2 linked regions of the Coturnix japonica genome follow. The protein of the gene in region 1 purifies or fractionates together with the protein of each later gene. This does not show direct contact. Links are inferred from orthologs where the notes say so. Each region holds a gene or a part of one and is shown in the gene's direction. Other genes may lie near its edges.

Evidence for each region. The genes of interacting proteins can lie anywhere in the genome.
Region 2: the proteins of CDC42BPB (region 1) and FAM167A purify together in Homo sapiens (co-immunoprecipitation; 3 studies listed by BioGRID and IntAct, counting the BioPlex papers as one, with this or other methods). This does not show direct contact. The link is inferred for Coturnix japonica from reciprocal best matches to the Homo sapiens genes CDC42BPB and FAM167A.

What each region holds. Positions count from the first base shown.
Region 1 is NC_029520.1:45,426,443-45,431,805, reverse strand, and holds part of CDC42BPB (serine/threonine-protein kinase MRCK beta), read left to right. Parts: intron 1-358; coding exon 359-483; intron 484-1,434; coding exon 1,435-1,540; intron 1,541-2,856; coding exon 2,857-3,005; intron 3,006-3,560; coding exon 3,561-3,655; intron 3,656-3,741; coding exon 3,742-3,821; intron 3,822-5,228; coding exon 5,229-5,279; intron 5,280-5,363. UniProt on the Homo sapiens protein: Serine/threonine-protein kinase which is an important downstream effector of CDC42 and plays a role in the regulation of cytoskeleton reorganization and cell migration. Regulates actin cytoskeletal reorganization via phosphorylation of PPP1R12C and MYL9/MLC2.
Region 2 is NC_029518.1:97,819,311-97,825,321, reverse strand, and holds the start of FAM167A (protein FAM167A), read left to right. Parts: upstream 1-2,058; 5' UTR 2,059-2,518; intron 2,519-6,011.

The sequences.
Region 1 (5,363 bases):
TGCTCTTTGTGGAACTGATTCCTGCAACTCAGAGGGCACCACCTTCCAATTTTTGTGTGGAAGCTTCACAGAGAGCAAAGCATTCACAATGCCAGCTTGCCTTCCTGATGGCTTACAGTTAAGCCTCTTTCCTCACTGTGGCCTCTGCGCTTGCTTCAATCTGCTCCACCTTTGCTTTCAATCGATTTCTGTGAAATGGAAATGTGTTCCATGGTCAGTATCTGATCATGATCCAGTTCTGCAAAAATAACAAGTAAAATATAATTTCATGTGTTGTTTGTTCAAATTCTGTAAGTATGTAGACATACACATTGATAAATGTATGAAACGTATGTAAAGGGGAAATCTTTTGTTTCAGCTTTGCTCCTTTGTGGACAAATTAACAGCACAGAACAGGCAGCTAGATGATGAGCTCCAAGACCTAGCAGCAAAGAAGGAGTCTGTTGCTCACTGGGAAGCTCAGATTGCAGAAATTATTCAGTGGTATGTATTGTTTAGAGATCCTGATGGCCACTTGCAGATTTTTGAAATATTGACTGCACTTTTTTTTATGTATAGCCAGGCCCTTTTTTGTGCATCTGGGATCAAACAAAAACATAGTGCTTTGGAGTGATGATGAACCATTTCTCTTTTGCTTTGCAGAATAACTGGCTAATAAGATTTTTAAGTGAAATTGTCGGATACTGTTAAGTACAGAGGAGAGGGTTTGTTTGTCAACTTGCTTCAAACTCTTAAGTAGTTATTAAGCCACAACGTTTAGAGTATTCTGATAAACCTTGTTGGGAAGATTGTCATGATTTAAAGGTCCACGCTAACACAGACCCTGACTAGTTGTATGAGACACACTTGCACTTAATTCGTGGATCAGTCTTTCCTTCTTATTTCCTGGGTATTTAATGAATGCATGACATTTAGTCACCTACATGTGTCTTCTGCTGGCTGAAAATGAGTGTTGCTACAGTTGGAGATCTGTGGTTTTAACTTAGATGTAGATTAGTCTAGTTGCTGATGAATACTTAGGCCTGAAAAGGCATTTCAGCTGAGTGGTAAGGGGCAAGTTTTGCATCATTTTTGTACTTGCCCTTCCATATGTTATAGGAGGACTTTACAATAGCCCTTATAAAAACCAAGCAAGCAGTATGCAGATCATGTTACAGAAAACAGCAGAGAATCTCTGCAGAACACTTCCTGATGGCAGGAGGAAAGCTTCAGTTTCCCTGGTAACTGCCACAATCGAGAGAATCAAATACAAGAACAACCTAAAGCAAGGCAATATAAGCAATATTCAGTTTTCTCTGCTGGGAGTTTTTCATGCTTTCTCCATGTTTGCCATGTCTCTAAATCCGATGCAAACAATAATTATTTGGTAGTACATTCTTTGTTGCTGTGATCCATGAAACTGTTCACTGACAGCTTTTTGTGATTGCACAATAGGGTAAGTGATGAAAAGGATGCTCGTGGCTATCTCCAAGCATTAGCCTCCAAAATGACAGAAGAACTAGAATCTTTGAGAAGTTCCAGTCTGGGATCAAGAACACTGGTAAGAAAATAGCAAGCATTTGGCTGTTCTGGAGATGTCTAAGAAGCCAACATTCTCAATATCTGCTCAGAATCAGGCATTTTTTCTAATCAATCCTCTGCTCTGCTAATGACATACTGGTTTTACCTATTGATAAATTCATTTGGATCGTACGATCAGAATTTGATAAATAGAGTGGTATTTCTTAATAACATCTACCACTAAAACTGTTGCGCAGTACAGAGGAGTAGAAGCAATAAATTAAACAGAAATCCTCTTAAAGGAGTATGGTTTCTAAGACAAAAACACTGCTCTGCCTTGGCAGGTATTAAATACCTGCTTAAGAAAAGGGAAAAACATTTGCAGCTGGCCATGGAAGCACACGTCCCTAGCAGATGCCGTGGAAAGAGTCATTCTGCTGCTGGTTTATATAGATAAAAGTTCCTCATTCCTTCTAAACCTATGAATAGGTGAAAATAAAAGAAGGTTATGACTTTTTACAAGCTAACCTTTGCCTGCATCATAGAGGAAACGATCATAATGTTGAGTGGTTTTATAAGAAGAAAGATTGGATCAAATGCGGTTGGCCCAGAATAAAGAATGCTCTCTGTTCTGTATATTGCAGCTAGTTTTGTAACTTATGCAGAACCTGATCTAAGGTTAATTATTTCTCAACATAAAAAAGGCTCTCATTTTCATGAGTATTATTTGCATTTTCATCTGACTGGAGAGAATACCCAGAGCACTGAAAATGTAGTCCGCACTGAAAAATGCTTTGAAAACCTTGGAAAAGTAGCTGGAGGTGGTGAGGTTTTACATAGTGTAATCTACTTAATGAACATATGAACTGTTTAGGTGAAAGTCCCTAAGTATCCAGGATATCTCAAGACCCAAATTACTTCATTTTCTTTGTGCTATGTTTTAGGATATTATGTCTTACATAAACTGTATACATTTATCTAAATTCCTGAAGTCCAGTATGTCACTCTGCAAGTTCTATATGCTTTTCTAGTCTGAACAATGAAAGCTAACCATTTTCTGTGGATTCTCTGCTTGACTGTCATTCTTGGTGCTAGCAATTTGATTTCAAGCATATTATGCTATATATATATATATATATATATATATATATATAACCATTAAAAGCAAATTATCATTACTTTGTTTTTACAAAATAATATCTGGCTATTGGCTGATTTCTGCATAGTGGGAATAGTGTCCATAATTAATCAAAAGTGCATTCTCTGAACCAGCGTGAAAGATATTTTACGTCTCTAAACAGCTACTGAAATACATTTAGACATCTGATGTTAATATTCAATAACTTACTGCAACAGGATCCACTTTGGAAAGTGCGACGCAGTCAGAAGTTGGATATGTCAGCGAGGCTGGAATTGCAGTCTGCCCTTGATGCTGAAATTCGTGCCAAACAACTAGTTCAAGAAGAGCTACGAAAAGTTAAAGATGCAAACATATCTTTTGAAAGGTAAGAGCTGCTTTGATTATGTTTAGGTTTTACTGTGCTGCTGTAAATTAGAATAGTAATAGTAACAGCTTTGTTTTGGATTGCTCCCTTCTGCTTGGATTAGTGGACTTTGCTGGAAAGATCCCACTCTATAGGCTGGACGTTTCTAGTGTTGTCAAATGAGAACTCTTTTTTCAAGTTAACTTTGCACTGGTGTGAATATCTCAGGAATAAGATACGGATCTTAAGCACCTGAGGTAAAAAGTATGGCTAAGAGCAAATTGAAAGCAAAACCAAATATTTTTTTAATATACTGACTGGGAGACCAAACTAGTATTATAATAATTATATTTGGCAAATAATTACAGTGGTAACAGGAGTCTTAAGTGTAATTTTCATTATCTAGTCAGGTAGTGAGGTACTAATTGAGGAGAAAAATAAAATCAATTAGCCTAGAAAAAAAAAATTTAAAAAAAAAAAAAGGAAAAATAAAAAGATTTTTTCTAGGACTCTGAGGCTGGCATTCCTGACTTGGAAATACTTATGACTGTATTTTGATCTTATTTTTTACATTAGTAAATTAAAGGAATCTGAAGCAAAAAACAGAGAATTACTGGAAGAGATGGAAGGCTTAAGGAGAAAACTGGAAGAAAAATACAGAACAGATTCAGGTAATTGAAGTTGCTGTGTTTTAACAGAGTTCTAATGCAGCGTTGATTTGGCTTTTTAACTAAGGCTATTCTGTTTTGGGTTTTAGGTCTCAAACTTCCAGACTTTCAGGATTCCATTTTTGAATATTTCAACACCTCTCCTCTTGCACGTGATCTGACCTTCAGAGTGAGTTATTAAGTAAACTGATTATGAAGATGTGATAGCTGAGTTGTATTTTTATTACCTAAAAGTAACACTTGGGCCCTATATAACAGATATGTATCTGGCATGTTAGTCAGGTTAGCATGTCTTAGAATTGAATGACCAGTAGACGTCAGATTAACTGGCATTTTGGAGAGAAACTGCCTTCTTTAGGAAATATTCACAAAAGCTTACATTACGTAGTTTTCCTTATGTTTTCTTTAAGTCTGTTTCAAGCCTTTGGCTGAATGATATACATTCAGGTTGTTTGAGAAAGGCTGGCAAAGCGTATTACTAATAAGGGATTAAATACGTTGGAGTTGGAAGATGCTAGTTAAGGTTTAAAAAAAAGAAAGTATTCACACAGTTCAGACAGTGCTTAAACAAACATATAAAGTTGTTGGCTCCAGATCTTCATGGGGTGGTCAGAATAGAAGGGACTGGGGAGAGAATCAGGACTCACAGATGATGGTACTGAAAGTTCATTGTGACACACCCACTGATCCTTGGAAAACTAATCATATACATAGCAGCTTCAAGTGGGCGTTTTGCTTAGAAAAATTTGTGCATTCCCCAAGGAAGCAGCTGTTAAATGCAGTGCAGAATCACTTCTCCTTACTTCATGAACTCCTGATCCTTGAAGATTGGAGATTTGTATTCTTTTTTTGCAAAACACATTGTCAGTTCAGGATGAAGCTGTGAGCTGAAACTGGAAAGAATGATCTGTTATGTTTATGGACCTGAGTTAAAAGGGCTGAGGGTTAGAACCTAATCAGTCTGTGAGATAGTATATGTGAAATTTGTACATTCTCTGTCGTTTTTCAAATTCTTACTGGTGCCAAAAGGAAAGCCCATGAACATGCTGAGATATTTCCATGTGCATATTTTGTGTCTGTGCTGTTCTCAGTTAGAAAATGCTCATGCTGGCTTTCTTGCTTAAGCAATGAGATGAGTTACGTGGATGAGGTGAAAAGAAATATTACATACATACACTACAGTGTGGATGGCTTTTATCTACCAACTTTGATATTGCTTTATGAATCACCAAATACACTTAAAATAGTAACTTAGAACATCAAGACAGTAACTACTAAAGATCCAGTCTACAGATCCAGCAATAAAGGCATACTCACTGATTGAATGCAAGTGGCATTTTTTGATGTATTATATTAAAATTCCTGATACAGTACTTAGTAACTTCTATTAACAATTTTTTTCACGTGTACATACATTTAAGGTTTGTCTGTCTAATCTGCTCTAGGTTAGTTTAGTTTGAATGAATATCATTGGGCCATATTAAACATTAGATAGCTAGCCTACTAGTATTCCATATGAAGTTTTTCTGTGGGTGATAAGTGATCGTTTTTATCCCTCATATCTGTTACAACAAAGGATTCTGTTTCTTCTTCGTCTACATCTTCTCTGCTAGCCTTTTGGGAAGAAGTAAGTTCTTGCTAGTAGTTTCGTCTCCTTATTTTGTTGTGACCTATCATAGTAAAAATGGCCTTCTAAAACTAGATGTTGCTT
Region 2 (6,011 bases), on another chromosome or scaffold:
ATTCCACTTCTGGCAGGCTGGGTTCCAAGCACTTTGCTTTGTGGAAAAGGCATTTAGTTGGTGACCAATTAAGAAGCCACCACTGATGCTCCTCCAAGACTCTGAACAGCTGCCCTTATGGAAGAGGAATGGCCAAAGATTAAAAGATCAAAGATTATCCAGTTCCCATCCCTGTGCCATGGGCAGGGTTGCCAACCACTAGATCTCCGATGCTAATCTCAGGTGCTCATCACAGGTGGTTGGGGTTAGAGCTTCATTACAGAGGGGGTTTTGGTGGAAGGAGAGGAACAACTCCCCACCACAGGTCCTTTGAGTAAAGGCAGTGAGATAAATTCAAGCCAAAAAATACTAAAAACCCATGAGAAGACTTTAGAGGGATGTGGTTCCAGCCTTTCACTGGTATCTTATGGCAGCTCATTTGAAATCCATTACACAACTAAGTTAAAAATAAACATTTACAGAAGAGGGAGCGGGTGGCCATGTGTGGTCTGTTACAGTAATGACAGAGATGTCCAGCTTTGGCAGCAACACCTCTGCTCCTAAACTAACCCATACCACAGCTTCTCTTCTTTTAGGACAAGTGGGAATGGTTTGAAACTGAGACAGGGGAGGTTGAGGTTGGATCTTAGGAGGAAGTTTTTCACCCAGAGGGTGGTGACACACTGGAACATGTTGCCCAAGGAGGCTGTGGATGCCCCATCCCTGCAGGCATTCAAGGCCAGGCTGGATGTGGCTCTGGGCAGCCTGGGCTGCTGGTTGGTGACTCTGCACACAGCAGGGGGTTGGTCTTGCTCACTTCTAAACAATGCTGATCCCATGTCAAAACTACACATCCCTGGACCTTGTCTATGTCTTGATATTGTTTAGTTCATCCAGAGCAACCTGATCCAGTGGTTGGTGACCAGTCCATAGCAGGGGGCTTGGAACTAGATGGGCTTTAAGGTCCCTTCCATCCCAAGCCATTCTATGATCCCTTCTATGATCACAGACCCAGGGTTGTTTTGGTGAGATGCTGCGTGAAATTTGGTGCTAAGACATGAAATGCAGCTACAGTCCCATATCAGAGGGTTTGAACAGCAAGGGAAGAGCTCTCATGTCTCTCTAATCCCCATTCACCATCAGCAGCCCCTGGAAGGGTGGGTGTCAGCTGCCAGGTGGCTGGGAGAGCTGATTGCCAGGCTGTTTGCATATGCATATCTGAAAATTGACAAAACGAGGGTGCTGTCCAAGCAAAATAATAATAATAATAATAATTGCATTTGCATCAGAAATGTGAAAACGCTGTTCTTCACTCTTTGAAGTCTGCATTGCTGCATCTTGCAGGGCTGTACTCTACACAGGAGGGGCTGCGGGGTGTGGGGAGGGGGGTCGGGATTGCAGCCTGGTGATGGGATTGTGGAGATGCTGGGCTCAGGGAGGGGCTGTAAATCATTCCCCACTGCCCTGGGGGGTGGGGGGAAAGAAAAAGAAAGGAAGGAGGCTGGCTGTGGGAAGGGGCCGGGGTGATGAGGTGTCTATGGCCAGCACTTAACCCTTCACACCACTGTGTTTGCAGACACTGCCCCGAGATGCTGGACGTGCAACAGCTGCATGTGGGGACAGACGTGGTGTTCCTTTCCAGAGTCACCCCAGGTGTTGATCCTTAACCCCTGGGGGAGGAAGGAAGCTCACGGTCCCAGAGTCACCCAGCAACTGGGCTCGTGTTTCTATGGGTCCCTTCTTGGAAGCAGTTAAAATGGTTTCCAGCCCTGCTGGGAGAGATGTGGGAGCAACAGGGGCTTTCCCAGTACAGCAGATGGGCAACAACTGGTTTCTGGGTGGTGCCAGCAAGCAGTGCCCTGAGTTACCCACCCTAGGGCTTCCCAGGGACTCCCACTCAGCCTTGCCAAATTATCCCCATCCCTTTTTGCCTTCCGTATGCACGCTCACCTCTAGGCAAGCATTTGAGAAACACTATCTCTGAGCTCTCCCTAGTGCCAGAAGTCCCCGGCTCTCTATGGAACATGATGAGAACAGCCACGGGGATGCTGTCCGAGTGCCTCCTGTGGGCTTTTTGGGGTCCCTGCCCTTGCAGCAGCCCTCCATTGCCAGTAGCATCCCTAACCCTCCTGCCTGGAAGGAGGATGTCTAGGACCCGGGCGATACGGCTCCTCCCTTTCAGGTCTCTCCAGGGTTATTGCTTGGTGGGAGGTAGGTTCGGGGCTTGGTGGTATGAATGAAAGAGAGACAGGAAATCTGGACTGAAAAGCTCAAACTGGAATAGCTCGCCTGTCTCCAGGCAACAGGCCTGACGCAACCACTGGAAAAAAAAAAAAAAAAAAAAAGTCCCTTAAATTAAGAAGGAAAAAAAAAAAACACAACACACACACACAGAGATTTCTGAAGCGAGACAGGGAGGAGGATGAGCCAGTCTCCTGAAGGCGCTGGTGACATCGCTCTGCAAATACCAAGTTGGAGCCCCGCGGAGGAAGGAGGGAGCCAAGATGTCCGTGCAGCGCTCCTGCTGAGTCCCTCCCTGGTGAGTTGGGGTCGGGGAGGGGATACCTGGTATGGGAGCTGTGGGAAATAGGGCTTGGCAAGGAGCAGGTCCTTGGGGAGAGAGTGTTGGGGTGGGGGCAGTGGGGACCCCCCCCCATTGTGGAGCTGGGGACTCATTCCTCTCATTCCAGCTTGGCCAAAATCGCTTGGAAACATCCAGACTGGTGGCACCCCAATGGTTGGGATGGGTGGAAATCACTGCAGGGCTTGCACCCCTCTTTGCAGAGGGGATTTTGCTCGCAGCTGGGGATACGTGAGGGGCAGCCACCACCTCCCAGGGAGCAGAGGGGGAATCTTTCTCCACCGGCTGTGGTGTAACAGAGAAGAGTCTGTCCCCTGCTCGGGATGATCACCTGTTGCTCCCTCCATCCCCTCCTGATCTGCAAGAGCCCCGGAGGTGTTTGTGCAGCGCAGACATCATGGGATGGAGCCTGCTGGCCTCGCAGGGTGGCACTACCTGAGGGTTCTGAGGCAGGCACGGCGCTGAGCAGGGTGGGTTTCCACCTGCTGAGGGCTGACCCTTGTAGATCTGACTGAGAAAAAAAAAACAACAACCCCTAAAATCATCCAGAACTTCTACAGAGCCCTCTATAACAGCTCGGGGCTAATTGCTAACATGAATGATCAGCCTGAGCCCCGACAGCGCCGGCACAAAAGCACCCTGATCCCAGCCCCAGTGTAGAGCTGGAGGACCCCTCCCTATTTCCCCACCATGCTCCCTGCATTATTCACTGCTGCTTTGCCCCTCTGAGCTTTCCCACATTGGAAACCTCGGTGGAAAGAGGGGGAAAATGAATGAAAACCAAGCGCCTTGTCGGCAGTGAGGGGCTGTGTCTGGCTTTGTCTGCCCATATCCGATGGATTCCCCACTTCTCAGTGGGAACGAGCTGTGGGTTTCCCTCCCCCAGATATCGTTTTGGTTCCATGGTTGTTATTTGCATGGCGTGTCCCCTCTGCATCCCCGTGCCGATTCCATGGGATCCGAATGGTGCACAAATAAAACAGAAAGGGAAGGAGCTCACAACAGCCCCGCAGCCATTCAGGTTTGAAAAATGTATCTGAAACACTGCAGGAAATATATATATATATATGTATATGTATATATTTATAAATATCATCCTGAGAGTAATTCAGCCTTTCAGAGGGGAGGGAGCAAGGGTCTGTTTGTGAGCAACCTGCCTTAAATGAGATATTGAACAGTAATGTGAGGACCAGCGCTAGAAATGCTGGGGAGGAGCAGGTCTGAGAGCAGTGCTCCTTGCTGCTGAGGCAGTAATTGGATGGGACAGGCAGCGTGTAGAGGGGATTAGGGGGTCGTGGGGGCTGATGCTGCCCCTGATCGCTTTAATTTGGAGCTGGAACAGGGGCTGCTCTGGCGCTTGTTTCTGCAGGGGAAGCTCAGTGCGAGGCAGAATGAAGGCAGGAGAAAGGTTTGTTGTTTCTTACCAGGAATGTACACTTCTCCTTCGTGCTGCATTGAGGGAAAAATAACTCCGTGTGACAGCCCCCTGGGAAGGGAGCATTTCTCAGCCTGATCCAGCTCGTTCCCAAGGAGCCCTGGCTGCTCTGGCACAGAGGTCCCTGCCCTGCTCTTTTTGTGGGTGAAACCCAGCAGGGTAAGGGGGCAAGTGGGGAAAACAAGAGAAGGAAGGAGCTCTGCCAAACTACCCCCTGGTCCTTCAGGGGCCCCTTGGGGAGCCGGGGTGAGGTCCCAAGTCCTGCTGGGACCTTGGGGCAATGCCTGGAGGGGCGACACTTAGCTAGTCCGTGCTAAAAGGTGGCTGTTGTGGATGGAGTATTTTTACCAAGGGGATGCAAAGTTGCTTTTCCTTCTGCAGCCTAACCCCCTTTCCTTCTAATAACAATGATACCTTGCTTTATGCGGTGGGCTGAGAGGCAGAATTGCCCTCCATCCACTTTCTATGAAGCCTTCCTGGTCTGCAGACGGCTCTCACTCATCACCAGAGGGCTGGTTTGCAGGAATGCCAAACATCTGGCAAAGCCTGGGCCATTTTCATGCTGGGTTTCCACCCAACCACTGGAAATCTGCTGATGGAGGGGAACTGGGCTGCTCAGAAGGTGGGGCTGCCAAGGACCCAACAGAGGCAGCCTCCATCCTGCTGCTTCAAAAGCAGCCTGCTATGATTTGTGCAAGGAGTAGGCTCAGAGGCAGATGGGGATGAAGGAACAGAGGTACTTCTGACACTACCATTGAGCCTGGAAAGGAATGCCAGAGGGAGAAGTGGTCCCCTCTTCTTAATATTGTCCACTTGTCAGATTTGGCTGCAGTCCCCCACTGCTCTCTTTCCTCTGTTGCACCTGGGCCAATTTTGGGGGGCTGTTTGGGCAGGAGGTGCTGGGGTGAATCCTCACCCTTCCTCAGGCCACACATGACATGAAAAGCCCAGTCCTTCCCTCCTGCTCCCATGTATTTGCAAATGCCAAGGGCTGAAGGAGCAGGATGGGTTGCTGTCCTGAGCATATGAGCTACCTGAGGGTGTTTGGGGGCATGGTTCACAGCCATAAATGCATGGGAACATCCATTTAAGTCAGTAACCCTATTAAGTCAGTATTCCAGACACAGCATGATGCAGCTCTGAGATCACATCTCTCAACCCTCAGTCAGCTCAGGGACAGAAAGCTGAGCTTCTGTCATGCATTAGACTAGAGGTGAGTCCATGTGTGAGAAGGGCCACAGGTAATACTGATATCCCTGCAAGTGTGGGGGATTCATCAGACCTGGAGCTGCACTCATGTTCATGATGCCCAGCTTGGCCATTTGCAGGCTTCAGGATCAGGATGATATTTGGGCTGCAGGCATCTTCTGATGGGAGGAGGGTGGCTGGAGGTCACTTCAGGACAGGCAAAGAAGGCATCCCCTTCACCATCCCACTGCCAATCTGCTGCAGATTACAGGTCAGCCATCCCCATCTTTTTGCTCTACCCCAACAGCCAGCTCTGCTCCACTCCTCCTGCTCTATTCTTTGTAAGGTTTCATCACCCACCAAGGATGGTGTTGGCAGGTGGAATTTCCACATAGGGTTGTCTTTCTTAGAGTGAAGGGCTGGTTGTGTGGCTCATAAAGTGACACCCATACAAGAGTAAATGGCTGCCAGCAGTCTGAGGACCTCATCCTAAACACCATACAGGGCATCCCTGCTCTGATAACAGTCAGAGTATGGACATACAGATGGGAATGAGACACCTGAAGATGTTCAATATATCCCTGAAGGTCCTCCGAGTTTGGCTCCTGAATGCCACACACTTGTGTCCAAACCTTGTTTGCCACATGCCAGAAGTGTTATCCATGGTCCTTGATGGCACTTCCTCATCCAGCTAAAGGGCTTCTCTCGGCACGAGCTTTGTCACACACTAAGCTGTGTTTTTATTCTCAAAGGAGATAAGCAAAGTCATGTAGATTCTTAAAATCACTGCTGCTCTTCTGCAATAAAAAATGGTATTACTGCAAGTTG